7 linked regions of the Cricetulus griseus genome follow. The protein of the gene in region 4 interacts with the protein of the main gene of each other region in a pairwise test. Links are inferred from orthologs where the notes say so. Each region holds a gene or a part of one and is shown on either strand. Other genes may lie near its edges.

What was found.
Region 1: the proteins of Creb3 (region 4) and Hmox1 interact in a two-hybrid assay, tested with the Homo sapiens proteins (2 studies listed by BioGRID and IntAct). The two-hybrid records come from large-scale screens. The link is inferred for Cricetulus griseus from reciprocal best matches to the Homo sapiens genes CREB3 and HMOX1.
Region 2: the proteins of Creb3 (region 4) and B-lymphocyte antigen CD20 interact in a two-hybrid assay, tested with the Homo sapiens proteins (2 studies listed by BioGRID and IntAct). The two-hybrid records come from large-scale screens. The link is inferred for Cricetulus griseus from reciprocal best matches to the Homo sapiens genes CREB3 and MS4A1.
Region 3: the proteins of Creb3 (region 4) and Vkorc1 interact in a two-hybrid assay, tested with the Homo sapiens proteins (2 studies listed by BioGRID and IntAct). The two-hybrid records come from large-scale screens. The link is inferred for Cricetulus griseus from reciprocal best matches to the Homo sapiens genes CREB3 and VKORC1.
Region 5: the proteins of Creb3 (region 4) and FXYD domain-containing ion transport regulator 3 interact in a two-hybrid assay, tested with the Homo sapiens proteins (2 studies listed by BioGRID and IntAct). The two-hybrid records come from large-scale screens. The link is inferred for Cricetulus griseus from reciprocal best matches to the Homo sapiens genes CREB3 and FXYD3.
Region 6: the proteins of Creb3 (region 4) and Fam3a interact in a two-hybrid assay, tested with the Homo sapiens proteins (2 studies listed by BioGRID and IntAct). The two-hybrid records come from large-scale screens. The link is inferred for Cricetulus griseus from reciprocal best matches to the Homo sapiens genes CREB3 and FAM3A.
Region 7: the proteins of Creb3 (region 4) and Tecr interact in a two-hybrid assay, tested with the Homo sapiens proteins (2 studies listed by BioGRID and IntAct). The two-hybrid records come from large-scale screens. The link is inferred for Cricetulus griseus from reciprocal best matches to the Homo sapiens genes CREB3 and TECR.

The regions. Positions count from the first base shown.
Region 1 is NC_048596.1:150,866,393-150,869,030, reverse strand, and holds the end of Hmox1 (heme oxygenase 1), read right to left. Parts: intron 2,281-2,638; coding exon 2,181-2,280; intron 1,193-2,180; coding exon 1,059-1,192; 3' UTR 501-1,058; downstream 1-500.
Region 2 is NC_048596.1:49,205,625-49,209,666, forward strand, and holds the end of B-lymphocyte antigen CD20, read left to right. Parts: intron 1-667; coding exon 668-904; intron 905-1,988; coding exon 1,989-2,090; intron 2,091-3,326; coding exon 3,327-3,542; downstream 3,543-4,042. UniProt on the Homo sapiens protein: B-lymphocyte-specific membrane protein that plays a role in the regulation of cellular calcium influx necessary for the development, differentiation, and activation of B-lymphocytes.
Region 3 is NC_048596.1:72,881,105-72,885,023, reverse strand, and holds Vkorc1 (vitamin K epoxide reductase complex subunit 1 precursor), read right to left. Parts: upstream 2,693-3,919; 5' UTR 2,691-2,692; coding exon 2,518-2,690; intron 1,733-2,517; coding exon 1,623-1,732; intron 705-1,622; coding exon 502-704; 3' UTR 501-501; downstream 1-500.
Region 4 is NC_048595.1:99,950,819-99,953,571, reverse strand, and holds the end of Creb3 (cyclic AMP-responsive element-binding protein 3), read left to right. Parts: intron 1-65; coding exon 66-172; intron 173-265; coding exon 266-334; intron 335-1,384; coding exon 1,385-1,469; intron 1,470-1,556; coding exon 1,557-1,641; intron 1,642-1,725; coding exon 1,726-2,054; 3' UTR 2,055-2,253; downstream 2,254-2,753. Other genes in the region: Gba2 (non-lysosomal glucosylceramidase), read right to left, coding at 2,453-2,731. UniProt on the Homo sapiens protein: Endoplasmic reticulum (ER)-bound sequence-specific transcription factor that directly binds DNA and activates transcription. Plays a role in the unfolded protein response (UPR), promoting cell survival versus ER stress-induced apoptotic cell death.
Region 5 is NC_048602.1:4,720,095-4,724,049, reverse strand, and holds the start of FXYD domain-containing ion transport regulator 3, read right to left. Parts: upstream 2,801-3,955; coding exon 2,761-2,800; intron 1,366-2,760; coding exon 1,333-1,365; intron 1,246-1,332; coding exon 1,222-1,245; intron 475-1,221; coding exon 400-474; intron 309-399; coding exon 272-308; intron 64-271; exon of another isoform or gene 13-63; coding exon 1-12. UniProt on the Homo sapiens protein: Associates with and regulates the activity of the sodium/potassium-transporting ATPase (NKA) which transports Na(+) out of the cell and K(+) into the cell.
Region 6 is NC_048604.1:1,323,706-1,327,973, forward strand, and holds the start of Fam3a (protein FAM3A), read left to right. Parts: upstream 1-1,468; 5' UTR 1,469-1,998; coding exon 1,999-2,011; exon of another isoform or gene 2,012-2,079; intron 2,080-3,586; coding exon 3,587-3,700; intron 3,701-4,199; coding exon 4,200-4,223; intron 4,224-4,268. UniProt on the Homo sapiens protein: May act as a defensin against invading fungal microorganisms.
Region 7 is NC_048596.1:160,825,530-160,829,029, forward strand, and holds part of Tecr (very-long-chain enoyl-CoA reductase), read left to right. Parts: intron 1-1,634; coding exon 1,635-1,685; intron 1,686-2,187; coding exon 2,188-2,239; intron 2,240-2,571; coding exon of another isoform or gene 2,572-2,574; coding exon 2,575-2,619; intron 2,620-2,695; coding exon 2,696-2,799; intron 2,800-2,875; coding exon 2,876-2,991; intron 2,992-3,075; coding exon 3,076-3,181; intron 3,182-3,256; coding exon 3,257-3,329; intron 3,330-3,416; coding exon 3,417-3,460; intron 3,461-3,500. UniProt on the Homo sapiens protein: Involved in both the production of very long-chain fatty acids for sphingolipid synthesis and the degradation of the sphingosine moiety in sphingolipids through the sphingosine 1-phosphate metabolic pathway.

The sequences.
Region 1 (2,638 bases), on a different chromosome or scaffold from region 4:
CAAGCACAGTCCAAGATTGCAGCTACCAATGCCACCACCACCTGCCCCCTGGCCAAGCACTGAAGAGACAAAAGAGTAGGGCCCGTTTCATGGACAACAGAGACATTAAGATACTTCTAGTGGGGCTGGAGAGATGGCTCAGAGGTTAAGAGCACTGACTGCTGTTCCAGAGGTCCTGAGTTCAATTCCCAGCAACCACATGGTGGCTCACAACCATCCGTTATGAGACCTGGTGCCCTCTTCTGGTGTGCAGATATACATGGAAGCAGAATGTTGTATACATAATAAATAAAATAAAAAGATACTTCTATTGACTGTTAGATAATGTTATTTATTATTTCACACAAAAGTTGGAGACCAAGGTTACAACTATTAAATACCTCTTTCCCACCCACCCCTCAAAAGACAGCCCAACTTTGTTAGAAACACACACACACATACACAACAAAATACCACCATTCAGGTGAGATGCGGGAAATAATAAAAAGAAACACAAGACCCAACATCTTTGCACACTGATATCAACATGGCCATGACACCAGAGGAAAACAGTCACGGCCAGTTAACACGGATGCCAACAACAAAGGGCACTGGGCTCAGAACAGCTGCTACTTCAGGCCATGTTTTGTTTTTTTCTTTTTCTTTTTTGGTTTTGAGACAGGGTTTCTCTGTGTAGCTTTGGAGCATATCCTGGCACTCGCTCTATAGACCAGGTTAGCCTCAAACTCACAGAGATCCACCTGCCTCTGCCTCCCAAGTGCTGGGATTAAAGGCATGTGCCACCACCTCCTGGCCAGGCCATGGTTTTGGGGCTCTACAGGAGTTGGGGCTGCTGGTTTCAAAGTTCAGGTCACTGGCTGGATATGCTTTTGGTGAGGGAAAAATGTGTCAAGCATCTCCCTCCATTGCAGAGAGAGAGGAGGGCACAGGGAGGGGTCTAGGAGCCTCAAAAGTTTCTTAGAGCCCCAAGAGAAGACAGCCAGGCAAGATTCTCTCCTACAGAAGAGAAGGCCCTTCATGGATAGAGTTCACAGCCCCCGGGGGCTAGCACATTTGCTTTACATGGCATAAATTCCCACTGCCACTGTTGCCATCAGAAAGCTAAGAGTCAGGACCCATCGGAGGAGTGGTGCCTGGGATGAGCTAGTGCTGATCTGGGGCTTCCCTCTGGATGTCTCTGCAGGTGTAGAGTCTGAAAGAGAAAGATAGAAAAGGTCAAACACATGCAGCCCTGGCTATATGACATTAAAGTACACAGAGTAAAAGGATACTTAGTGTGTCTGTCTCCAGGACAGTTCCAGGCCAAGACCACAATTCTGCTAAAGCATAGAGTGTCCATCTTCAAAGCTAGGAGCTCACTTATTCTCAAGCTGTTCATCCTTCATGCCCAGTCATTTCTATCAAGGAAAGTCCCCTGACTCAACCAAGTAGCTAACTCCATCAACTGGCCACATTTCAGCCCACTAGAAACAATACTAGTAACAGGGCCATTATTACCTCTCCCAGTTGGGAGAGCCTTAGGCATAAAGTGGGTTAGGATGGCATTGAGCAAGACAGCTTCACATAACCTGTCCTGCCGCCCATACTCTCATCACCCACTCCCTGTGCCACACTGTCCCAGAAGTGACAGGCTCAGGGAAGGCACGTGTTTAATCCCAGCATTTGGGAGGCAGAGGCAGGCGGGTCTCTGTGAGTTCGAGGCTAGCCTGGTCTACAGAGGGAGTACCAGGATAGGCTCCAAAGCTACACAGAGAAACCCTGTCTCGAAAAACCAAAAAAAAAAAAAAAAAAGAAAAGAAACACAATCCTGCCTATTTGTAAAAGGTTGAGACAAGAAGATTGTTTGATCCTAGGGTTTGAGGCCAGCCTGGGTAACCTAGTCTGACTGCCTCAGAAAATGCTTGGGGGGACTGTCCTAAATAAAGGATCTCTGCACCAGTGACTTCTAAGGGATTTCTGTACACTTCAGCCAATGCAACTATAGCCCAACCATCTGATTTCCCAATGTGGGGAAACTGAGGTAGAAGGCCTTACAGCTCACCCAGTCACCCTGGGCCCTTTTGTCTGTACACTATTTCTAATTTAAAACATTCAGAAAAGAGGAGAATAAAGAAATCACAGAGACAGTAGCTGGGCCATGTTCCTGCCAAGAAAAGCCAGAAGCAAGAGGGCACCTTTACCTTGCACCAGGCTACCAGGCCGCTGGCGAGGGCCCTCCATCTGTGAGGGGCTCTGATCCTTGTGGTCCTGTGTCAGCAGCTCCTGGAGCTCCTCAAACAGCTAGAAGATAAGACATACTGCCATGTTAATTTGACTCAGTGGTGGCCCCAGCTGAAGGCAGAGCTGGAAGCATGCTATGAAATATTGTAGAAACGACACAACTTAAGAAAATGATCTCCCCCCAAGAAAAAAAAAAAAACAAAAACAAAAACAAGCCAGGCATTGGTGGCACACACCTTTAGTCCCAGCACTAGGGAGGCAGAGGCAGGCGGATCTCTGTGAGTTCAAGGCCAGCCTGGTCTCCAGAGCGAGTGCCAGGATAGGCTCCAAAGCTAAACAGAGAAACCCTGTCTCGAAAAAAAAAAAAGAAAGAAAAAGAAAACTATCACACACCCATGCATTTTTAACCTACCTCATG
Region 2 (4,042 bases), on a different chromosome or scaffold from region 4:
GTGCTTCATAAAATAATCAATAATACCACAGCATCGTGGTACTTGGCATATGATACATCAAACTTTTATCACCAGTGTAAGGACAGAACGGTCACAACCATATCCTCTGGCCCATGTATCAAGAGACATCTGAGCTCATGGACCTGGGGGAAGACAGTTGAGTGGGGGTACATTGTCAGTAGGGAGAGGTAGAGTTATTATGGCTGATTCATTTTCATTGGCTAGTACAAACCTAGAAGTTTCTATCTATATCTACACCAAAGATCTTTAGACACATTATAAAATCCTTCTTATCCCTCTGCCCACTGCCTTTTTATGCAAAGAGATAGTAATCTGGATGCTCACTAAATCTCTAAAGCATGCTGGGAGGGTGGTGATAATAAAAAAGAGTGTAGGTACAACCTGTGGGCAAGGCATCACTGGGATTTTGTTTTATAAATTGACTGGATGGTGATTGCACAAGATGAGAAGACTGGAAAAGGAGGGAGAAGAAAACTAAAAGTTTTGCTTTACGGTGACAAAGAGGCTAAAAACCACAGTGAGAACAAAACTAGAATATAGGTGTGGAGTCTCTCTGAGCCGGGGAGACAGCAGCTGGAATCTCGCATCCTACGTTGTTTTCTGAAGAGAAATCAAATCTAACTAACAAAGGCTGCCTCTGTTTCAGGTCAAAGCCAAAGTGATAATGAACTCTCTGAGCCTCTTTGCTGCCATTTCTGGAATAATTCTTTCAATCATGGACATACTGAACATTACAGTTTCTCATTTCCTAAAAATGGAGCGTCTGATTCTTAGTAAAACCCCCAACCTGTATGTTGATATCTACAACTGTGAACCATCTAATTCCTCAGAGAAAAACTCCCCATCTACACAGTACTGTTACAGCATGCAATCTGTGTTCTTGGTAAGTATGAAAGCGGTGTTCCTCCGGAGAAGAAACGTGCTGTGTTTTATTATGAGCATCCATGCTGGGTCCAGGTAGTCTGTGTCTGCACTTTTCCTGCACTTGGCTTTGGGCAAGAACCCTCCTCATATACTACTTTCCTTTCCCCAGCTGTAAAACAGGGGGAGTAAGACTATGTGTCTCCTTGGATTGATGTAGAAACAAATTAGTTTACATAAGCAAGGCACTTGGAATCATTTGTACCCAAGAGTATACTTGTGACTTGATTATTTCTTCTGAGGAATGGGCTTAGTGTGTAGCCCTGGCTGCTGACTATTTAGCCCAGACTAGCTTCAAACTCACAACAATTCTGCTTCTACCTCCTGAATGCTGGGACTACCGGCATGTGCCACCACACCAAGCTTTATGTGGTCATCGTTCACCTTTGTTAATATCATGGATGACATTAATAATTTTCGATAAAAATATGGAAGAAATTCATAAACTGTTATTAATATGTTTTCTCCCACAGAATTTTTGAATGCAGAGTTTAAAAGGGAAAGGCAATACATCTCCCAAGTATTGTGGAGTTTCCTTGGTGTGATGTCACATATTCTAAAGCTGATACAATTTCTTCTGAGACAGGGTCTCCTGTAATCCAGGCTGGCCTTCACTTTGCTGTGTAGTCAAGAACAACTCTGGACTTCTGGTCTTCTTGCCTCTAACTCCCCTAGTGCTGGGATTACAGGCACATGCTACCATACCTAGTTTACATAGTGGGACTAGAACCCAGGACCTCAAGTATGCTGGGCGAGTACCCTACCATTGAGCTACTGTACCAGACCAAGCTGACAGAATTTAATGTGGAACTCTTTCTTACAAAAATTGATTCTTCAGTTTCCTATTCCCACCTTACTTCCTTGTGTTCAGCCGTTGGGTTGTAAAGATGCTATCTTTTATAGCAGCCATTCCCCCCAGCTCTTCATTTCACTCACCTGAAGAACTGAGCTGAACTGTTGCTCACTGAGTTCCAGTCATAGTCATCACTGTGCACTAAGTCCATCCAGCTGCCGTTACCTCATCTTTACCTCCATTCTGTTTCCAGGGCATTTTGTCAGTGATGCTGATCTCTGCCTTCTTCCAGAAACTTGTGACAGCTGGAGTTGTGGAAAATGACTGGAGAAGAATGTGCTCCAGACCCAAATCTGTAAGTTGCAGTTCCTTGTCCATAACGTCCTTCTTAAAACTTAGTATCTACAAAGAATTGTTTACATAGAATCTAATCTGACAAAAATTCTGAAACTAGGAGCTTCATTTGGAATAAATGGCTTTGCTGTATTTTTTGGAAAACAGAAAACAACAGTAGTGGCAGCAAACGTTTTGAAGTATAAGTAAGTCTATGGTTAGACAGAAGCTACAGTTCCACATGTTGCACAAGTTTGCCTGCCAACCAGCTTTTCCTTCTGGTTGACTCCAGACTCCCGGTCCTGCCCCGTCTTAGTTATTGTTTCATGGCAGTGATAAGACAGCATGGCCAAGGCAACTTATAAAAGAAAGCCTTTATTTGGGGCTGACAGTCCTGAAGATTAGTTAGAGTTCATGACTATTATGGGGAGGAGCATGGTAGCAGGAGGCAGGCATGGCTCTGGGGCAGTAGCTGAGAGCTTATATCTGATCCACAAGCAGGAGTCAAAGAGAGCTAACTGGAATGGCACCAGCCTTTGAAACCTCAGAGCGCAACCCCAGTGACACATCTCCTCCAACAAGGCCATATTTTGACAAGTATTCAAAGTTTTGAGCCTATGGGGGCCATTCTTACTCATCCCTTGATCACATGCCACCCCCATCTTAATCTGTAACATAGGATGACTGAAGACAGGAGGCTGATAAAGTCATTGGTTCTTGGATTTTTCATTTTTCCACTCTCCTCCCATGCTCTTCACCTCATTCCACTTCCAAGACATTAGTATTTCAAAGCATCTCCAAAGCTAGAAAACATGAATGCTCTAATAGTAGCTCCCTTATAAACTACTGTGGAACTCCAGACTATAAGATTTAGTTTATGGATTAGAAGCCATTATGATTACTTCATTATACAGATTGGGAGAGGGTAGAATGAGGGCCTCTTCCCAAGGTTATGATCACCAAAGGCAAATCAGTTCTAGAATCCAAACTCCTCTCTTTTTGGTATTATTTTTCCATGTGGTATGATTATTCTAGGCAAAATGGCAAAGGCCTGAAATCCTTAATGATTACCCCAGACTCGAGATTTAATAAGGAGGTGATTTGATGAGAATTTGTGCATCTAAGTAGCCAATCCTGCTATCTATAGTATATGGTTAACTAAATAAAGAACATGAGAATAAGTTGGCATTTGGATACATGTTGATTGTTGGGAGACGTGTCAAGGGTAAAGGTCAAGAGGCATTTGTTTTTGTTCTAGAATGTAGTTCTGCTGTCAGCTGGAGAAAAAAAAGAACAGACAATTAAAATGAAAGAAGAAATCATTGAGCTAAGTGGAGTATCTTCCCAACCAAAAAACGAAGAAGAAATTGAAATTATTCCAGTGCAAGAAGAAGAAGAAGAAACAGAAATAAATTTTCCTGAACCTCCCCAGGAACAGGAATCCTTGCCAGTGGAAAATGAGATCGCCCCTTAAACTCTCTTTTATAAGCATTATTGTTTAGAGAGCTTCCAAGACACATAGTTACCCCCATTTCTTGGTCTTCCACATGTATTTTCCATGTTTCCACAGTTTATCTTTGCATAGAGAAGCCATATCTAGCTTTCCTTCACATTTAGATGTAGCAATTGTAGCAAACTGTGTTGTCCCCTGCTTGGGAGTCTTACATCTGCAGAAATGCTGCAGAACCCAATTCTCATTCACCTTTTTCTTGGACAGGCATTTTAGTAGAAGTAGTGCTTTTCCCCTGAGTCTTCCATCAGCAACTGCAGCTGCAGGGAAAGACACGTGACTGTTCCATCCAACTCTGAACTCTCTGACTCCTTCCTTATTTACATTTTTAGGGGAGTCCTTTTTGCACTATTGTTTTAAGGAAAGTAGAAAGGAAATGAAAGAGAACAAGACACCTATGTTTTCAGGGGAGCAGACACTGTGGCATGTTCTTCAAGCTTCTGTATCCCATTTGGAAAGCCGTG
Region 3 (3,919 bases), on a different chromosome or scaffold from region 4:
AATTTTAAAGAAGTTCCAAGCAAGCTCACCCTCCAGGTGTGTGGCAGGCCCTCCTACAACAGGAGGTCTGATCCGTAGGCAGCAGGCGCTAGCTTGTTTCCTGGATGCGGGGGCCAATGTGCCAGATTTTGCTGACGACACATGCTGGTGATGATGCAGCCACCCTCCCGGACAGGCCCTCCATTCTGACTCATCCCAGTTTCAGAGAAGGCAATAACAGGGAAAGACCAACACCCCAAAGGGTCCCCAGCAGACATACGCTTCAGACTCGACCAACTTAGGAAAATTTATTGTTTAAAACCATTCTCTTTAGCCAAGAGCAGAAAGCAGCCCTTGGGAACAGCACTTAGAGGCACATCTGGTCATTGTCCTGTGTGTGGTTATGGAGGGGGACTGGAATGAAGGGAACAGGGCCTTCTAGGGACCCACACATGACCCTCTTGGGCAAGGCTCATGTGCCAAGGCAAAGCAGGTTACATTAGCTTAGCATGAGGAGGGACCTCAGGGCCTTTTGGCCTTGTGTTCTGGCACCTCCTGGAAATTAAGCAACATCAAGCCCACATTGATGGCATAGGTGGTAATGCAGACAATGCAGAAGTCATAGAGCACAAAGAACAGGATCCAGGCCAGGTAGACAGAACCGGCGAAGGACACCAGGGAACTCAGTACCAGTAGGAGAGAGGCCCAGCGTCCCCTCAAGCAACCTGTAAAACAAGACAGGATCAATAATGGTACATCTAGAACTCTGCCATGCCTCCCCAGTGACAGACGGATGGCACATGCATCTGGTAAAAGTTCTCTAAGATAGGATCTGATGGGCCTTATCTGTTCAATAATCCTTGGGACCCAAACAGTAAGTACTCCTGCTAAAGTCTATATTCGGTGAAATACAAGTCACCTTTGGAGTCCCCTCAAAAAGCATTTTTAAACTGGATGTTTATGCCTATAATCTCAGCACTTGGGAGATGGAGACAGGAGATTCAGCAGTTCAAGGTCAACCTGGAATGCATGAGACCTTGTTTCAAACAAAACCCCAAAAAACAAAAACCAGTTAGGTGTGGTAGAGTACGCATTTAGTACCAGCACTCAGGGAGGCAGAGGCAGGCAAATCTCTGTGAGTTCAAGGCCAGCCTGATCTACAGAGGGAGTTTTAGGACAGCTAGGACTGTTTCACAGAGAAACCCTGTTTCCAAAAAAAAAAAAAAAACAAGAAACAAAAACCCAAGAAGCTAGGCATTGTTGGCACATGCCTTTAATCCCAGCACTAGAGAGGCAGAAACAGGCGGATCTCCGTGAGTTCCAGGCAGCCTGGTCTCCAGAGCAAGTTCCAGGACAGGCTCCACAGCTACAGAGAAACTCTGCCTCGAAAAACCAAGCCAAACCAAAACACAAAACCAAATAAAAAGAAAAAAGAATTGAGATGCTGGGAAATCCTGGGGGGGGGGGTTTCAGCCTCTGGCTTCCTGAACTAACTAGGATGCTGGTGTCCTCCTGTTTTGTCTCCTTGTGACCAGGTTGCTCAGTGATTAGCAGCTGACTGTCAACTGTCTGGGTCACCAAGGCATGGGGTGGGGCTGATCTGAATTAGGGAAGACAGGTCATGAAGGGACAAAGCCACTCACCTAACAACAGCTGTATGGTGTAGAAGATGCACCCAAATATGCTGTTGGATTGGTTGAGGACGCTGTCAGATCCTAGCACATGTTCCACCAGCCCAAAGCCCTTGCCCCACCTGGTGGGAGTGAAAGAACCCTGGTTAAGTGTGGTCAGCCTAGTGCCTCTTGGGTTTTATCCTGGAAAATCGATTAGCAACACTCTCCACCCACTAAGAATTCAAAGGTCAGTGACCTGGTATGTCACTGGCTCTATCCTGGCTTGTCATCACAGACCATCTGTAACTTCAGGAGCTGGTGAGATGGCTCAGCAAATAAAAGTGCCTGCTGCCAAGCCTGTCAACTGGGTTGAATCCCCAAGACTCACAAAATAGGAGGGAACCACCTCCGATTTCCACATGCATATAGTGGCAAGCAGTGCCACCCCACAAACTCAAAAATACGGTTTTTTTCTTAATTTTTTCATCTTGATCGTCCTTTATGGTGACCACACTGGGACACCTGGAGCACAATCTATTTGCTTTGGACTTACATGGCTACAGTTCCCTCGCCACCCACTAACATCCGGTCCTCCAGCACAACCAGAGTGAGCCACCTTTGTCCCTGAGCAGAGCGATGCTCCACCACCTCCTCCCGCTTTGTGCCATTGAGGTCTGCCCTGCTTCCTCCAGTTTTCCAATCAGTTATTCACTGGCATCTTCAGAATGCGTTCAAACAGCAGTATCTTCTGAGTGGTCCAGCCTCTGTGCACGTCCGATTACCCACCAAAAACTCCTGGGGCAGTCCACTCTCAAAGTGTCCGTTCTGCGGACACTGCGATCCCAGACTCCAAAATCATCCGGCAACCTGGCCGTCAGGTACACCTGGCCTTCAAGGACCCCATGCTTTCCATTTCCGCACGCACCGAGAGGAGAAGACGCGTGAACAGCTGATGGCCGTGCCCACGTCGCAGAGAGCGCGGTAATCCTCGTCTCGGGCGCGCGCCGCCTTCACGTGCAGCGCGTACAGCGAGAGCGCTAAGCCAGCGAGGCAGAGTGCCAGGCGCCTGCGTCCCGGGCTCCTCCAGGTGGTGCCCATGTTGGCGGCCCAGACCAGGAGCCGGAGGGAAGGACCCGCCACGGGGCGGGGGCGGGGCCTCATATGGCCACGCCCCTCCGCCCCGAAGGTTGACCCGCCTCGGCTGCCATTCTCCTATCCAATTGGTTGTTTTTAGGCACGACAGCTGGGAATGCTGGGCTGGTAAACTGGATTAAGGGACCTGGGGAATTCTTGGTACGGCAGCTGCTAGGCATGATGGGAATCGTAGTCGGAGAGGCTGCAAGACATCAAGGGGAATGGAGTCTCTAGAGTGGTAAAGCTACTATTAATAGAACGGTGCTTAGCGTGTTCTCTATGCCAAGCCCTGTTTTATGCATTTGGCATGTCTAGAGATTAACGGACTAGTGGAATCCAGCGAGAACTGTGATGCGACTCAGGAAGCATTTCCCCTGAAATTGTTTCAGATGCCATTGGGCTGTGACCTGAGCTTCCAGGTAGCCGCCAGCCGTCCCTCGCGCCTCACCAGCGCCCCTTGTGGGCAGAGCGGGCCCTTCCCCTCACAATAAATCCCGTTATCTTGGCCACACTGCTGGAGGTTTCCCAGACCTTGCTACCGTTGTGGTGCCCTCTTGGCAAAACCCGAGCCTGAATCAACGCAACACTTCCTCTGATATTATTTCACCTTTACAGATATTCCACCCTTCCCACTTGCATGGAGTTCCTTCACTAGCTCCCTCTACCTTTCTATCTTACTGTAAGATTTGGGAAGATTTTATATTTCCCGTCTTCCTTATCACATAATAAACTAGCTACCCCAGAACATTCCCCTAACACCTAGTTGCAAGCAGGACCAGGACGTTATGCCCAATGGTTTGACCTCCAAGTGGTATTAATTGCTGCTTTAAAGTACCTATTTCTTCCTTGACAGCTGCCCTCCTCCTTGGCTGCTCCTTCTCACATCTACTACTTTTATTTCAGAGAATGTGCTGGGCACAAACGTCAGTTTCCAAAGATTCTTAGAACTAGTGACTATGTTAGGCTGTAAGACAAAAAGGGAATTAATGCTGCATAGGATCAAAGTGGGCACCCTGGTGTTTCATTTTATTCGTGTTGAGGCCAGCCTGATCTGCAAAATGAGTTCTAGAACAGTCAGGACTGTAAAACAGAGAAATTGTGTCTCGGAAAACAAATACAAAAAGTATTCATTTTATTTTTCGTGTCATAGGATTTTTATTGTTTTAGGATTAGCATAGAGAATAATGGGTTGA
Region 4 (2,753 bases):
ATATATATGTATGGGTATATAAAAAATAATACACCTTGGATGACCTTTTTCCCATCTTCTCTTAGGTGGAGGAACAGGTTCTCAAACGGATACGGAGAAAGATTCGAAACAAGAGAGCTGCTCAAGAAAGCCGCAAGAAGAAGAAGGTGTATGTGGGAGGGTTGGAGAGCAGGTAGGAAAGGAAGAGCATGGGGAACAAGTTGGAAGCCTTAAGCTTTTGAAGGGAAGACACAGGCAATATTTTGATATCCATGTTATCCTCCAGGGTCTTGAAATACACAGCCCAGAACCAGGAGCTGCAGAACAAAATACGAATTCTAGAGGAACAGAATCTGTAAGCAACCATTTATAGTCATTAATTTTTAAAATCTTTTTAATGATTTTTTACTTTTATGTGCATTGGTGTTTTGACAGCATGTATGTCTGTGTGTTTGTCGGGTTCTCTGGAACTGGAGTTACAGACAGTTGTGAGCCGCCATGTGGGTGCTGGGAAATGAACCTGTGTCCTCTGCAAGAGCAGTCAGTGCTCTTAACCACTGAACTATCTCTCCAGTCCTGTCATTAGTTTAATGCTGTCTCACTCTTTCCACTATTCCACCCTTGACTTCTAACTGGATTGCTCCTAAATTCAAAAATCTGGTGGTTGGCCTTTGCCAGGTCTCAAGCTCAGAGTAATGGGGAATAAATTTCCAAGTAGCTAAGAAGAAATTAAGTACCAAGACAAAGAGGAAGTAAGAAAAGACTGAATGGAGGGGCTGGAGAGATGGCTCAGAGGTTAAGAGCACTGACTGCTCTTCTAGAGGTTCTGAGTTCAATTCCCAGCAACCACAAGGTGGCCCACAACCATCTATTATGAGATCTGGTGCCCTCTTCTGGTGTGCAGATATACACGGAAGCAGAATGCTGTATACATAATAAATAAATAAAATCTTAAAAAAAAAAAAAAGAAAAAGACTGAATGGAGGTAGTCAACATCAGAGCAGTTGCAATGGGGGTAGGAGGGGCTGAGTGGGGAAAGCATTCTAGGTGGAGAGAAGACAGTGTTTGTGTTTGCGTTGGCCCAGAAAGTAGAGAACACAGTACCTGGTGGGGATTACATGCATAGTTGATCACGTATTAAGAGAATTCTGGAAGGTATTGGCAAAGGAGCTTTAGTCAAGGCAGGGAAGTTTTTATTTTTTGTTTCAATAAGGAACCACAGGTCCACAAAGAAGTCATTTGGGGGGGGAGGGGGGATGGCAAGGAAGTTAAGAGATTGGATCCACTGCACCAGTGGAGAGAGTGGCTTAAATGGGGGTGGGGAGGAGGGTGGTAGGGTGAGTTTCATTGTGACTCAGTGCTAGACCAGGGCATGCTCACCACTGTTTCCTCTCTCTTCCCTTAGGTCCCTTCTAGATCAACTGAAGAAACTTCAGGCCATGGTTATTGAGATAGCAAACAAAACCAGCAGCGGCAGCACGTGTGTTCTGGTGAGGAGAATGGGACGGCAGATCATTTTCTTGGCAGAGATGGGGTGTATGACCCAGAGCCCTTCATCTCTTTTTTCCGTGTTCTAGGTCCTACTGTTTTCTTTCTGCCTTCTTCTTGTACCTGCTATGTACTCCTCTGACACAAGGGGGAGTGTGCCAGCTGAGTATGTTGGTAAGAGGCTGAGGACCTTTAAGGCATGGGCTGTGGTAAAGGGTGGCTTCTGTCTTGTCACTTGACAAGGCTTTGTCTCTTCAGTGTTGCACCGTCAGCTTCGTGCCCTTCCCAGTGAGGACTGTCATCAGGAGAAGCTGCCTGCCCAGCGGTCAAAGTCACTGAAGGACAGCACAAGCCAGCTGCTGGGTAGCTCAGAGCAGATGCTCCAGGCCTCCAGCAACGCTTCCTGCCTCCTACACTGCATGCCTCAGGCAGAGCCACCCCTGCACTGGACATTCCTTGATCTTTCCTCAGAGACCCCCTTCTCAGGCCCCAACCATCCCCTGAAGGCAAATCTTTCAAAGAAAGGGGAGTGGCTGCCTACCCACAGCCCTTCTTCTGTTGTCTTGCTGGGCAGGCATTCATGTTAGATTTGAGATGCGGGGTACCCTCAGCCTGAGGATTCCTGTCAGTATTCAAATAAAAAGGAATGGGGGAAAGAGCTGGCCTCTGCTCCTGTGCCCTATTAGGATGCCTGGGAGCTCAAACACACCATACTTAACAGTTTTATGGTCTTTTATTTATACTCATGTATATCTGTTGTTCCATGAATAGACTTGGAGAAATTTACTGGCCTTGAATATTTCATCCACGGAAGGAACGGGGAGGGTAAGAAATAAATAAGTGGTTCCTTGGCCCCTTTTTACTGGCACAGTTGGGTAGCAAGAAGGGAAGGGGCTTGATTGTCCTAGTGGCTCAGGGCTGCAGGAGTGGTGGGAGGGAGGAGGAAAGACCAGTGTATTGGCTGGGCTTCCACAGTTCAGGGGGATCACTCTGGGCTTAGGTTTGTCCAAGATTTCTTTGGTTCATGTTCAGGCTCTGTGCTTAGTCTTGTGCCCTGTGTGACAACTGGCCTTTTGCCCTTTTTATGCTGCTGCTGTTGCAGGGCCAGCTGCATGGCCCAGATGCTCAGCGGCCTCATGTAGGCTAGTGAGCGGAACACTTGCTGCTGGCAGTATGCCTCTGGGGTCTGGAAAGCCAGGCCCAGGCGTTCCCATACAGTGCGGTAACAGCCCTCAGCTGTCCGGAAACCTTCCCGAGTCAGACCCTGTGGGGAGAGGTAGAAGTCA
Region 5 (3,955 bases), on a different chromosome or scaffold from region 4:
CCTGGACGGTGACTAGAAAAATAGAAGTGATAATATACAAATAAATCCCTCATTTGTCCTCAAGTCTCAGCTTGCCTAGCTATACGGTTTCTTGGCTGGTTTTCCACTGTAGGTTTGTACAAAGCTAGGGACCAAAGCCTTCTTAGGATAGTTTGCATGAAGCCAAGCCCAGAAGACCTCAGGGCAGAGCCCCCAGGCCTGTGCTCTCTTTGCACAAGGCTTAGCCCTTTTGGGCGTGCCCAGAACCCGTCTCGCCCAGAACCCGTCTCACCTGGGCTTCTGGCTGAACTTGCATTTGCACCTTCCACCTGTTGGAGACGGATGTGGTCAGAGGGAGGAACGCAAGTCCCTGCCCTGTTCACCCCCCACCCCCCCGCCAACGGCCCCTCCTGTACTCACTCAAAAGGACTATGATGCCCACGGCACAGAGAATCCCTGCACAGATGAGCCCGCCGACTCGGAGGTTGTACCAATCTGAGAGGGAAGCAGAGAAAATGTCAAAGACAGCCTATGTCCCCCACCCAGTCTATCTAACTTGAGAGCAGTGAAAGGGAAAAGCAAAACCCCAGCCCAGTAGTGCGCACATTGCCGTTCCTAACCAAGTAAACAAGATATTCCATGTCCATTCAGGGACAGAGAGGCCATCTGAAGGGAAAAGATCAGTGTGGAGACAGGAAGTCAAGATGAGGGTCTTTAGAGAGAGTGACCAAGCAAGGGCTCTCTGAGAGGGTCCCACTGGAACGGAGATCTGCAGGGAGGCAGAGGTGGCCCTGAAGACACACGGAAGACAGTGGTCCAGGCAGAAGAACCAGCAGGCGCACAGGTCATGAGATCGGCGGTTGCCTTCTGTATCTGAGGATGATAGCTGGAGCAGGGGTGAGGGTCCGTGGAGAACGAGAGGGCAGGGGGCAAGCGGCAGGGGGAAGTGGAGAAGAGTGGGGTAGAATTCCCTACCTTGTCTGGGAAAAGTTTCATGACCAGCATTCTGGTGTTTGGTCTAAACCTAATGCCTCTTGTGGACTGGACTCAGTCCTGTGTCTGTCTTGAATTCCCCCTCACGGCTATTCCTGTAACCTATCTGGATGTTCAACCACCCATTTCCCACCTTCTCCTGTCGTGGTCCCTGGGTCACTGTGAACTGTCAGTCACCCTTGTGTGGGCCGCTTGGCACAAAATAATGTGTGGGACTGAGAAGAAGAGAGGAGGGGACACGGTTCTTACCATAGTAGAAAGGGCTGTCCTTATCTGCAAAGAGAGACAGGACACACCCATGAATCCGAGGCGCCAGCAGGGTCTAGGGTGAGGGGGGTGGAGGGGTGGGCTCTGACTCACCTTTGGGGTCATTGGCATCCAGAGAAGGCAGGCCTGTGGGGGCAAGTAAGGACAAGCGATGACTATGGTGGCCCTAGAAGGGCCCTCAGCAGGATCCATGGAGGTTTGTTGCCTGAGGGAAAATGTTCCATGTGGAGGTGGGGGAGCAGCCCCACCTCCAAAGTGTACAGGATCTAGCTGCTGGCTAGTCCCACCTGGACACGCGCCTTCATGGAGATGTGGGCTCACTCACCCACTCCTCACCTGTGAGTCATGCCAGCATTTTGCCACCGGAAACCGATCCTACTCCGGGTACATTTTGGGACTGTTTGAGTGAATGTTTCCAGAGGCTCTGCCCTTCCAGGTAGCAGATGGTCTCTGTTCCCAGGACAGCTTTCTCCACGCCAGCAATGCCCACAGCCCACAGCCCTCACAGCCACACCCCACAGTTAGCAGGGCCGCTGACCTCTTTGAAATAACGCACCGTTGGCAACTTCTATTCATTCTTACATTCCTTTCCCAAACAGAATGAAACTTGTGTCCAAAGAATGGTAAGGTAAAAAGCGGAAAAGCAGGGGTGGTGGTGGAGAGAGATGGCCCAGTGGTTAAGACGACTGATTGCTCTTGCAGAAGACCCGAGTTCAGTTCCCAGCACCCACATGATGACTCCCAAACATCTGTAACCCTGGTTCCAGGGGACCTGACACCCTCTTCTGGCTTCCACAGTCACCAAGCACTCAAACGGCAAAACTCACATATGCATAAAATAATATTTTTAAAAAAGTGGCTAGCTCCTCAGAAATGATGCCAAAAGCCATCCCCTGGCTGCCACACCCCAGGCACACAGACATAAGCACACCTGCACACATAATGAACGCACATAGTCATGCACACACAAAAGAGGCCGAGGGGGGAAAGGAGGAAACACGACAGAAGCAAGGGCCAAGGATTAAATTCTGGCTGAAGCTTGTTCAGCTTCGTCCCGGGCCTGAGTTCTGCTAAAGGGAGAAAAACAATGCTTAATTATATTTGAGGCATGAATGCCTGGGGCCCACTCCACCCAGGCCCTGCCATATTGTTGTTCAAACATTAACGCATTGAAGCCTCACGAAGGCCCTATGACTATGTGCTGTTCTCTGTGTTTTCAGAGGAGGGGAAACTGAGGCTCGAGGCATTCCAGTTACCTGCTACATTGCTGCTAGGGTCCTAGGCACAACTGGGAAGGCCATGTAGGGAGGCCGTGGCACACAAGAGTACCGGGCCGAGCCTTTGGCTTGCTGTCATCAAAAATTAAATGGCATCTCCCCACATGCACGAGGCTGCGAGCATGTATGTATGCATACGTACACACACACACACACACACACACACACACACACACACACACAGCTTGTCACCACACAGCTGAGAGGTCCAAGGGAAAGGGCAGCTTGGTGGCCTGATACCCACCTGCTAGGAGGACCAACAGGCTCAGAGCGACCTCTTGCATGTTGCAGCGTTGATCTAGAGGAGTCCAGAGAACAGAACTTTAGCGGGGTGACCAGGACGCAAGGCCCCGCACCTCTGCTTCTCTATCCCACCCCGCTGTTCACCAGGAGCACAGCCCAAGGTCCAGACAGGAAGGCTGGTAGTGACTGGTGCTCACTCACAGGCTGGGAGATAAGGAGCCCCAAAGTCAAGTGGGGGCTGGGTGAGAACTCACGCTCCACAAAGGAACAGCCATTGTCATTGTCATAATGAATCTGTTCTTGGAGAGAAGAGGTGGAGTGGTGTTTTGCTACGTCCGGGCCGGCCTTGAATTTGCCATCCTCCTGCCTCAGCTCTCCAAATGCTAAGGTTAGAGGTGCCCACCTCCACATCCAGCTTGTCACCCCTATCCGTATGATGGGGAAACTGAGGCTCTAAGAGATGAAAGCTGATGGCCAAGATCACTTGGTCCAGAAGGCAGGGTTTCAACAAAGCCTCGTCCCTCACTAGCTGTTCATAACTCAGAACTGTGAGGGCCTCGGGGTGTTTTGGGGAGTAGGGTGTCAGGAGCCAGGTGGCAAGAGGCCCGGGTTCCGGGAGTGGCTCCCACAGACAGCTTGGAGCCTGCCCAAAACACGCTGCCGGCTTCTCTCTGGGGCCTGAGCAGATTCCCTGGGCTCCTGGGTGGGTGTATGGCAGAAATGATGCCAAGTTGATGGGGCGTGTGCAGAGGGGGATCCTGGCTTTAGTCTTACCCTGTCTCCTGCCCCACCCTTGGGTCTGTCCCTTCAGACCCCACTGGGCACTCTCTCAAGTCCAATCTTTGCCCCCTACCCTAGCCTTCACCCTTGACTAGGCCTCTGCGCTCGCTCCGTATTATCCCAGCTCTTGGCCCTGTTGGGCTTCTCTCAGCAGCAAACGCTCCACAGTTCCCCAGTGAGAATCACTCAGCACAGGGCCCCTTCCATACAGCGCTGGCCTAATAGTCTGCCTTTCCGTTACCCTAGAGGCCTCTAGTCAGCTCCTTCTCTCTGAGCACCTCCCCCACTTGCCCTGCTCACCTGTCGTGAGCTCATGTACACACACACACACACACACACACACACACACACACACACACACCACACACACACAAGATAGTGAGTGCTAACACTTGTCCCCATTCCTCACATGCTGG
Region 6 (4,268 bases), on a different chromosome or scaffold from region 4:
AACAATTTTTTTAAAGATAGGTTTTCATGCACTTCAGGCTGACCACAAACTCACTTTTAGCTGATATTGGCCTTCAATTTCTGATCCTCCTGCCTCTGTCTCCCAAATGCTGGGATTACAGACATAAACTAGCACACCTGACTCCATTACCACCATTTTTAAAAAATGCTTGACACTGAGTTGGGCGTTGGTGGCACACGCCTTTAATCCCAGCACTCAGGAGGCAGAGGCAGGTGGATCTCTGTGAGTTCGAGACCAGCCTGGTCTACAAGACCTAGTTCCAGGACAGCCTCCAAAGCCACAGAGAAACCCTGTCTCGAAAACAACAACAAATGATTGACACTGAATTAGTTAGTTAGTATGCATACAGTGTTCTGCCTACATGTATATGCTTGCAGGCCAGAAGAGGATACCAGATCTCATTACAGATGATTGTGAGACACTATTGCTGGGAATTAAACTCAGGACATCTGAAAAATAGCTAGTGCTCTTAACCGCTGAGCCATCTCTATCCCACCATTTTTTTTTTTGAGACAAGGTCTAAGGAATCTCAGTCTATCCTCAAACTTGATAAAGGGCCGAGGATGCCTTTAAACTCTTGATACTCCTGCCTCCACCTCCCAGGTAGCAAGATTACAGGTGTACCAAAATTGAAAATGCTATGTTCTAACCAAAACAGTGCTTCTATAAACTTTTTCTATATTTTGGAGCATTACCTAAAAGTGGTGGAGTTCCTGTAAGTGGGATCATTGGGTCAAAGGACAGGAATGCTGTTTTACTTCTGTCCAGCTGCTGCCTGAGGAGACAGATGATTCCAGCTGAACGAACTGTCTCAGCTGCCCTGGCAGTGTAGGTGGTCGAGACAGAAAGCTCAAGCAAGAGGAACGAGGGTTACATTCCAGACATCCCACACTGAGTGATACATAAAATAGAAAAAAAAAAAGACTCCCTGGGGAAAAAATCAGAGCAGAAAGAAAGCAACCAAAGGGCCACTCTCTGGGACTCAGGCTTTGCTTTACCTCCACATGTGCTTCTGGACTTTCCGTGTTCTTAAAAAACACATGCTAACCTAATGTCATTATCTACGTCCCCAGATCCATTCTCTTACCAGCCATGAGAGCTCTGATCTCAAGTCTCAAGCAGAGCTTCGGCTCACCAATTGTATAAATAGAAGATCTCCCGCCAAACAGAGCGTGTGGAGGCAGCGGGGAAGCTGGCTGTGGTGGTTTACACCTGTAATCCCAGCATGAACTATAGGGTGTGATCCGATCTCAAAAAAAAGTATAGGAGATTCATCTGGCAGCAATGACTCAGGCTCTTTCCAGGAAGCTAGGTGGCTCAGCTTGAGTACAAGCTGAAGGGAAATAGCCTCTCTAGGCACCTCCCACCCAGCCTCTGGAGAAGAGGGAGGAGGCGGGTCTGAAGGCGGAGCCTGCGTGGGGACCTGCGGCCCCACAGCGCAGCCTGTGGGCTTATGGCGGAGCGGCGCCTGTGGGCTGTGACCCTCCCTGGGCCGCCATTGTCGTGCTGGCCAAGCTTCTCTGCGTGACTCGTTTGCTTCACCTCGCCCGCAAATCGAGACCACTGGAAAATCCCTGATCCAATCTGCGTCCTTCTACACCCAGGCAGCGTCATTGGCCTGCCGGGTCTCTGCCGGCAGCCTCAACAGGACCGACCCGATCCCCGGGCCTAGCACGGGAGGGGCCCGAGTCAGGGAGAACAATTGCTACGTTCCAGTCCTGGAGGCTTCTGTTAGCCAGACTGAGAGCCGCGACGGGTTTCCAAAGCCCTGCTGGCTAGGAAGTGCTTCTCCCAGTGCTCACGAGGAACTGAGCCTGGTCTGGTGTCTGGAGGAACAAGTTGTAGCACCGATCGTGCCCAGCACAGACTTGTCCCTACCCCACCACCCAACCTACTCTCCTGCTTCATTCCTCTCAGAGCCCACGGTCCCCAAACAGTGCACCTGCCGGAGGTCCCAACCCAGTGGGAGAAGTGGACATGAGGTTGGCAGGTGGGTGGCTTCCACAGCGAACGGAAGAGAGTCCAGACGTCATAGTGGTTGTGTCAGGAGGGGCCCAGGTAGTCACTGGTTTGTTATTTATTAATGGATGACTGTGCACAAACACTTATTTTATGAGCAAATTCTTTCACCTATGAAGATTTCAGCTTCCCAAACTATAAGTTAAGGATTAATATATAGTCACTTACACCCAACTCAAGTAACAGGCCAGTTGCGTTTTGGAAAATGACTTGTGAGAAAGAGGTTCCAAAGAGTCTAGTGTCTGGGTGGGGAGGGGTGGAGAGTAGAGCAGAGAGGCGTGGCTGCTGTCAGCTGTACAACTAAGATACCTTGTGGGGATGAAAATGGTTCGTGGATCAGACTGATTGGGGTAAGAGTACAATTCAAGAACTGATAAGGTAGCAACTTCATAGATAAGGGCTGGTAAGGGCTATAAGGAACTGACAGGGAGGATGTGGGTTCAAGATTGATCAGGACTAGAGCCAGAAAATAAGGTGTCATTGCTGCATGGTGTTTAACTTGATAATTGTGGTAGATGAAATCTCCCATAAAGAGAGTATGCAGACAGGAGAAGGCAGCCTGGAAAAGACTAGCTTTTGAGGAAAGAGTAATGGAAGATGACATAACCAAAAAAGAGAAAGTCCCAAAGACTCAGGTCAGGAGACTGTGCTAAAAGCTAGCAGTGAAGTGTTTGCATCAGGATGGCTAGGGTAGCCCACCCAGATGTCAACAAAGAGCAGGCAGGCAATCAGAAATGTGATATCATGAAAGTCATGGGTGGTCTGGTTTGGAAGGTCATTTGTTTGCTGTTGTGGTGGCAAGACTACATTGGATGAATTTTGGGAGAGTGGAGGGTGAGATGATAGAAATCACAATGTAGATGACTTTTTTAATGTGTATGCTGGGGATGGAACTCAGGGTCTCATGCATGCTGGACAAATGCTGTACCACAGAGCTATATCCCCAGCAAAGAATAAAGTTTTAAAGAATTTGGTGGGGAAGTGGAAGGTGAGGAGTTAAAGGATGAGATTTTTCTTGCAGGAGCTCTGTTTCATCTTTATGTTATTAAGTTAGGACCTGTTAATATTATGAAAGTGAAATAGAAAGAAGGAGCCTTAACACAACATACCTGAGACAGGAGAGAACTTGATGGATCTTGAAGCGAGCAGAAGTACTGGTCTTCAAAAGTTTAGATCTTTCATCAGAACAAGAGGAAAGGAGAGACAGATGGGTGAGCTGTAAATACACTGACAGTTTCAGAGGCAAGATGCTGAGGTTGGTAATATGGAACCTGTCCAGAGCATGAGTTCTAAAAAGTCCTTCCAAACCTGCTGGGGAAAACCATAGTAACCTCAACATTTAAACTCACTTTCTTCCCTCCACCAGGAGTAATTTCATGTCTCCTACTTGGGTCTGGTGGGTAGCAATGGTTCCTCCACCTTTCGATCCTGCCATCACTTGTTGCCAAATAGAAGGGGAGATCTAGTCATGTGAGGCAGTGGGTTGTTGCTGTGTTTCTTCACTGGTGTCTGAGATGGACCTGCCCTATGTCTGTCCTGCCTGCAGGCCCCCTTCGCATCGTGGCCCTAATCATCACTATGGGTCTCTCCTGGATCCTAGTCACCATCCTCCTGGGTGGTCCTGGTGGTGGCCTTCCTCGAATTCAACAATTCTTCACCAGTGAGTGTGGGGACCCTCTTGACTCACTGTACAGGTGTTCAATATGGGGTGTGATGGCTGGGTTTTCCATCACCTTCTTGACAGGCTTTTTGCTACCTTCAGCCTATCTTCTAACACAAATGCAGCCTTGTCCCTACCAACTGATATGAGAGCAACACACCCTAATTGCAATCCAATATTGAGTGGAAGTTGATAGAGTGAGAGTAAGGAGTGGAAAGGCTTCCACTGAACACTTGATCATCTTGGACTTTCTGCTGGGCTCTGAGATACACAAGGGACTCTACATCTTGTCACTGGTGCCAAGTCACCTAAGCACTATTTACAATTCCAATTCATCCTTTTCCTGGAGCAGGCAATTTTACATCAGGGCATCATTGAGACTTGAGCGGGTAATATGCCAAGTGTAGCCTGACTTGACCCCAAGTCCCTGATCCTGGCTGGTCTGCTGTAGGTTCCTGGAGGCCTCTGTGCTAACAGAAACAACTCTCTGTATCCACAGGCCCAGAGAACTCAGTGACTGCAGGTAAGCTTCCTGTCCCTTCCCTATCCTGTCCTGTGCCAGAACTTC
Region 7 (3,500 bases), on a different chromosome or scaffold from region 4:
TCTGGTCTGATACTGTCCTTATGTGGTTCAGTCATTTGCCCCTCAGGCCACAGGGTGAAGCTGAGTTTGCAGTGGATAGCAAGTGATTTCTGTACTCTCTCCTGCGCTGTGTCCATGATGTAGGCTCTGGCATAGATGGGCAAGCAGGCCTGGGTGCCACTGGCTGGCATAGAAGCCTTGCTCTGAATCCAGGCCTAGGCCCTGCAGGGCTGCTTCACTGTGTAGGGTCACCTCCATGGGGCCTCCCTACCTAATCACCAGGTAGTCACTTTTGTGGGGCCACAGACACACATACACACATGCACACATGCGCGCACGCGCGCACACACACACACACACACACACACACACACACACACACACACACACACACACACGCACATACTTCCCTTGTGCCAGCACCATGTTGGTTCATGCACATCCTCTCAGGGACCCCTAGCAGGCCAGGCCTGGGGTCAGACCCTAGGACTATCTTAGCCTCTGCTCTTTGGAGCATGCAGATGGCAGTGACCAGCTTCTCTGGCCTGTGATGTCCCCATCCTTGAGAATGAGAAGTCACAGATCCCCATAGGACCCCCAGGCCTCTCCCAGCTACTATGGACAGTGCAGACCATCATGTCAGCAGCCTTCTCTGACCTTCTGGGACAGGTGGCTCAGATCTCCTGGGGCTGTTTTCTTACTCTGTTCCTTTGCACCACTGAGTGGCTCTAGCCTGGGTATTTCTCCTTTGGAGACTGTGGACCCTAGGGGTATCGGCAGGCCTGGGTTGTGTGTTGAAGGCTTTGCAGCGAGACTCATCCATGGGTGAGGTGAGCACATTGATGTTGGCCTGATGTGGTAGACTGCCATGCAGGTGGTTTTGAAGCAGGTGTGGGTGGAACTGTTGAGAATGAGGAGAGGGGTGGAGAACCTTGCTCACTCTTTCCTCTCCATACTTAGAAAAGGAACTGTGCACCGATAACTCTGGAATTTGTCACCTCTCTGGGAACACAAATGCACAAGGGAAATAATCCAGTGTCCCTTACAGCTTAGAAGTGGCAATGCATGATCTGTCTCTCAGATTCTCTAGACAGCTGGCATTTCCCCAGGTCCAGTAACCTGTCAGCCAGAGCTGGGCACTGGGCCTGGGCTAGCCACCCCTGCCACTGGCTGTGTGCTTTTTCCCATCTCTGGGAGATTTTCTTGTCCCTGGCGCTTTTGAGGCCCAGTGTCCACTCAGCTGCTTCTATGAGGGTAGCCCCCAGGGGAGGACTGTGGTGTGGCTCCTTCGGGGGAACTTGGGATGGTTTTATATTTAGCCGGGCCGGGCCGGGCCCTGGTGCCACTCGGGTTACATCTGGCATTGAAGCTGGCTGGGTCTGGTCAGACACAGGCTCCTTTCCAGCACCGAGGCAGAGTTTCATCATGCTGCCCAGCCCAGCTCAGAGCAGCTTTGTGAGGGGAGGTCGGAGGTGGGGGCTGGTGGCTGGCAGTGGGCGCCACAGCCTGGTAGGCAGAGCAGTAGGGCCGACAGTGGCATGGATATCAGCTTGAGCATGGTGGCCAAGGAGGCCCACCAAGGCCTCGATGGTCTTCCCATGCCCGTGCCCCACAAGATAGCCAAGAAGCATAAAAAGGCGGTTCTCTTCTTTGAGGTGGAAATTCTGGATGCGAAGACGAGGGAGAAGCTGTGCTTCCTGGACAAGGTAGGACTGTGACCCTGGTGGTGAAGTTGTAGGGCTGTGCAGACATTGGTGGCCCCCTTGTCCTTCAGAGGGCACACAAGGGGTATTGCCTTCATCTAGAGCAGCAGTTCTCAAACTGTGGTCTCCACCCCTGTGGGGCTGCATATCAGATGCTTCTATTGTGATTCATAACAGTAGCAAAATTACAGATGTGAAATAGCAAGGAAATAATTTTTTGCTCGGGGTCACCACAACACAAGGAACTTTATTAAAGGATCACAGCATTAGGAAGGTTGAGAACCACTGAGCTAGAACGTGTAATCGTGACCCCTGCATAGGGCTGGGAGCTGGCTGCCTGGTAGGGGAAGGGATAAGGCAGCCTGGAAGGACCCTGTGTCTGTGAAGGAGGTGGAAGACAGATACACCCTGCTGAAGCCAGCTGGCGTGATCCTGACCGCCTGTGCCTGGCACCCCTGTCCCAGATCTGGGGCTCCTTTGGGACTGATAGTCTGTTTTCTCTCAGGTGGAGCCTCAGGCCACCATTGCTGAAATCAAGAATCTCTTCACCAAGACGCGTGAGTGCAGGCCCTACACTTCTATCCCCACTCCTGTCACCCCTCTGGATGAGAGACCTGGGCTTCCTTAGGGACTTGTAGAGAGGGCCTGTCAGCACACTGGAGCAGGGAATGGGGCCCCTCTGACTGGGCAGGCTGCCCCCGTGTGGCCACCTGCAGGAATGCTCTTGCGTTATTCAAAGGACAAAATCTGTAGCTGTTTGGGTGTGTTCTTGCATAGGGTGGGAAGAGCCGGGGGTCCCAGAATTCTGGGAACCTTGAGAGGCAGGCTGGGTTACGATGGGCAGGCTGAACCCAGCCAGACTGGGTGCTGCAACCTCACCTTCTCCTAGCAGACCCGCAGTGGTACCCTGCCCGCCAGTCCCTCCGCTTGGACCCCAGTGAGTACAGCCTTTCCCTTGGGCTCTTGGGGTCAGAAACCCAGGGCAGCATCTGAATACTGACTGATTTCTGTAGAGGGAAAGTCCCTGAAAGATGAAGATGTGTTGCAGAAGCTTCCTGTGGGCACCACAGCCACACTCTTCTTCCGGGACCTGGGGGCACAGATCAGCTGGGTGACGGTAAGCCCTGACCCCTTCCCTGGTCTCTGCCTTCAGCCACCCTGGGGTTACTCACCTTGTCTCTGGGCACTCCCAGGTCTTCCTGACTGAGTATGCTGGGCCCCTTTTCATCTACTTGCTCTTCTACTTCCGGGTACCCTTCATTTATGGCCACAAATACGACTTCACGTCCAGTCGGCACACAGTGGTGCAGTGAGTGGGGCCCACAGGAGAGTGGGAGGGGGCGGGGCGGGTGGAGGGCTGGAGCAACCCCAGCTGAATCAGCTGCCCCACCAGCCTCGCTTGCATCTGCCACTCATCCCACTACGTCAAGCGTCTGCTGGAGACCCTCTTCGTGCACCGCTTCTCTCACGGAACCATGCCCTTGCGAAACATCTTCAAAGTGAGCATCCTTATTCTTTCTGCTCTGCCCAGCAGCACCCGCCCTCCCTAGGCTCACTCATCTGCTCTCTTTCAGAACTGCACCTACTACTGGGGCTTTGCTGCATGGATGGCCTATTACATCAACCACCCTCTCTACACACCCCCTAGTAAGTGGGCCCAGACAGTGCCCTCATCCCGTGACCCCCATCACCAACCTTCTTCTTATGGGGCCCTTCTTTTTGCCTTTTCTGCAGCCTACGGAGCCCAGCAGGTTAAGTTGGCGCTGACCATCTTTGTGGTAAAGAGGCTGGGGTGGCAACCAAGTGTGGTGAGGTGAG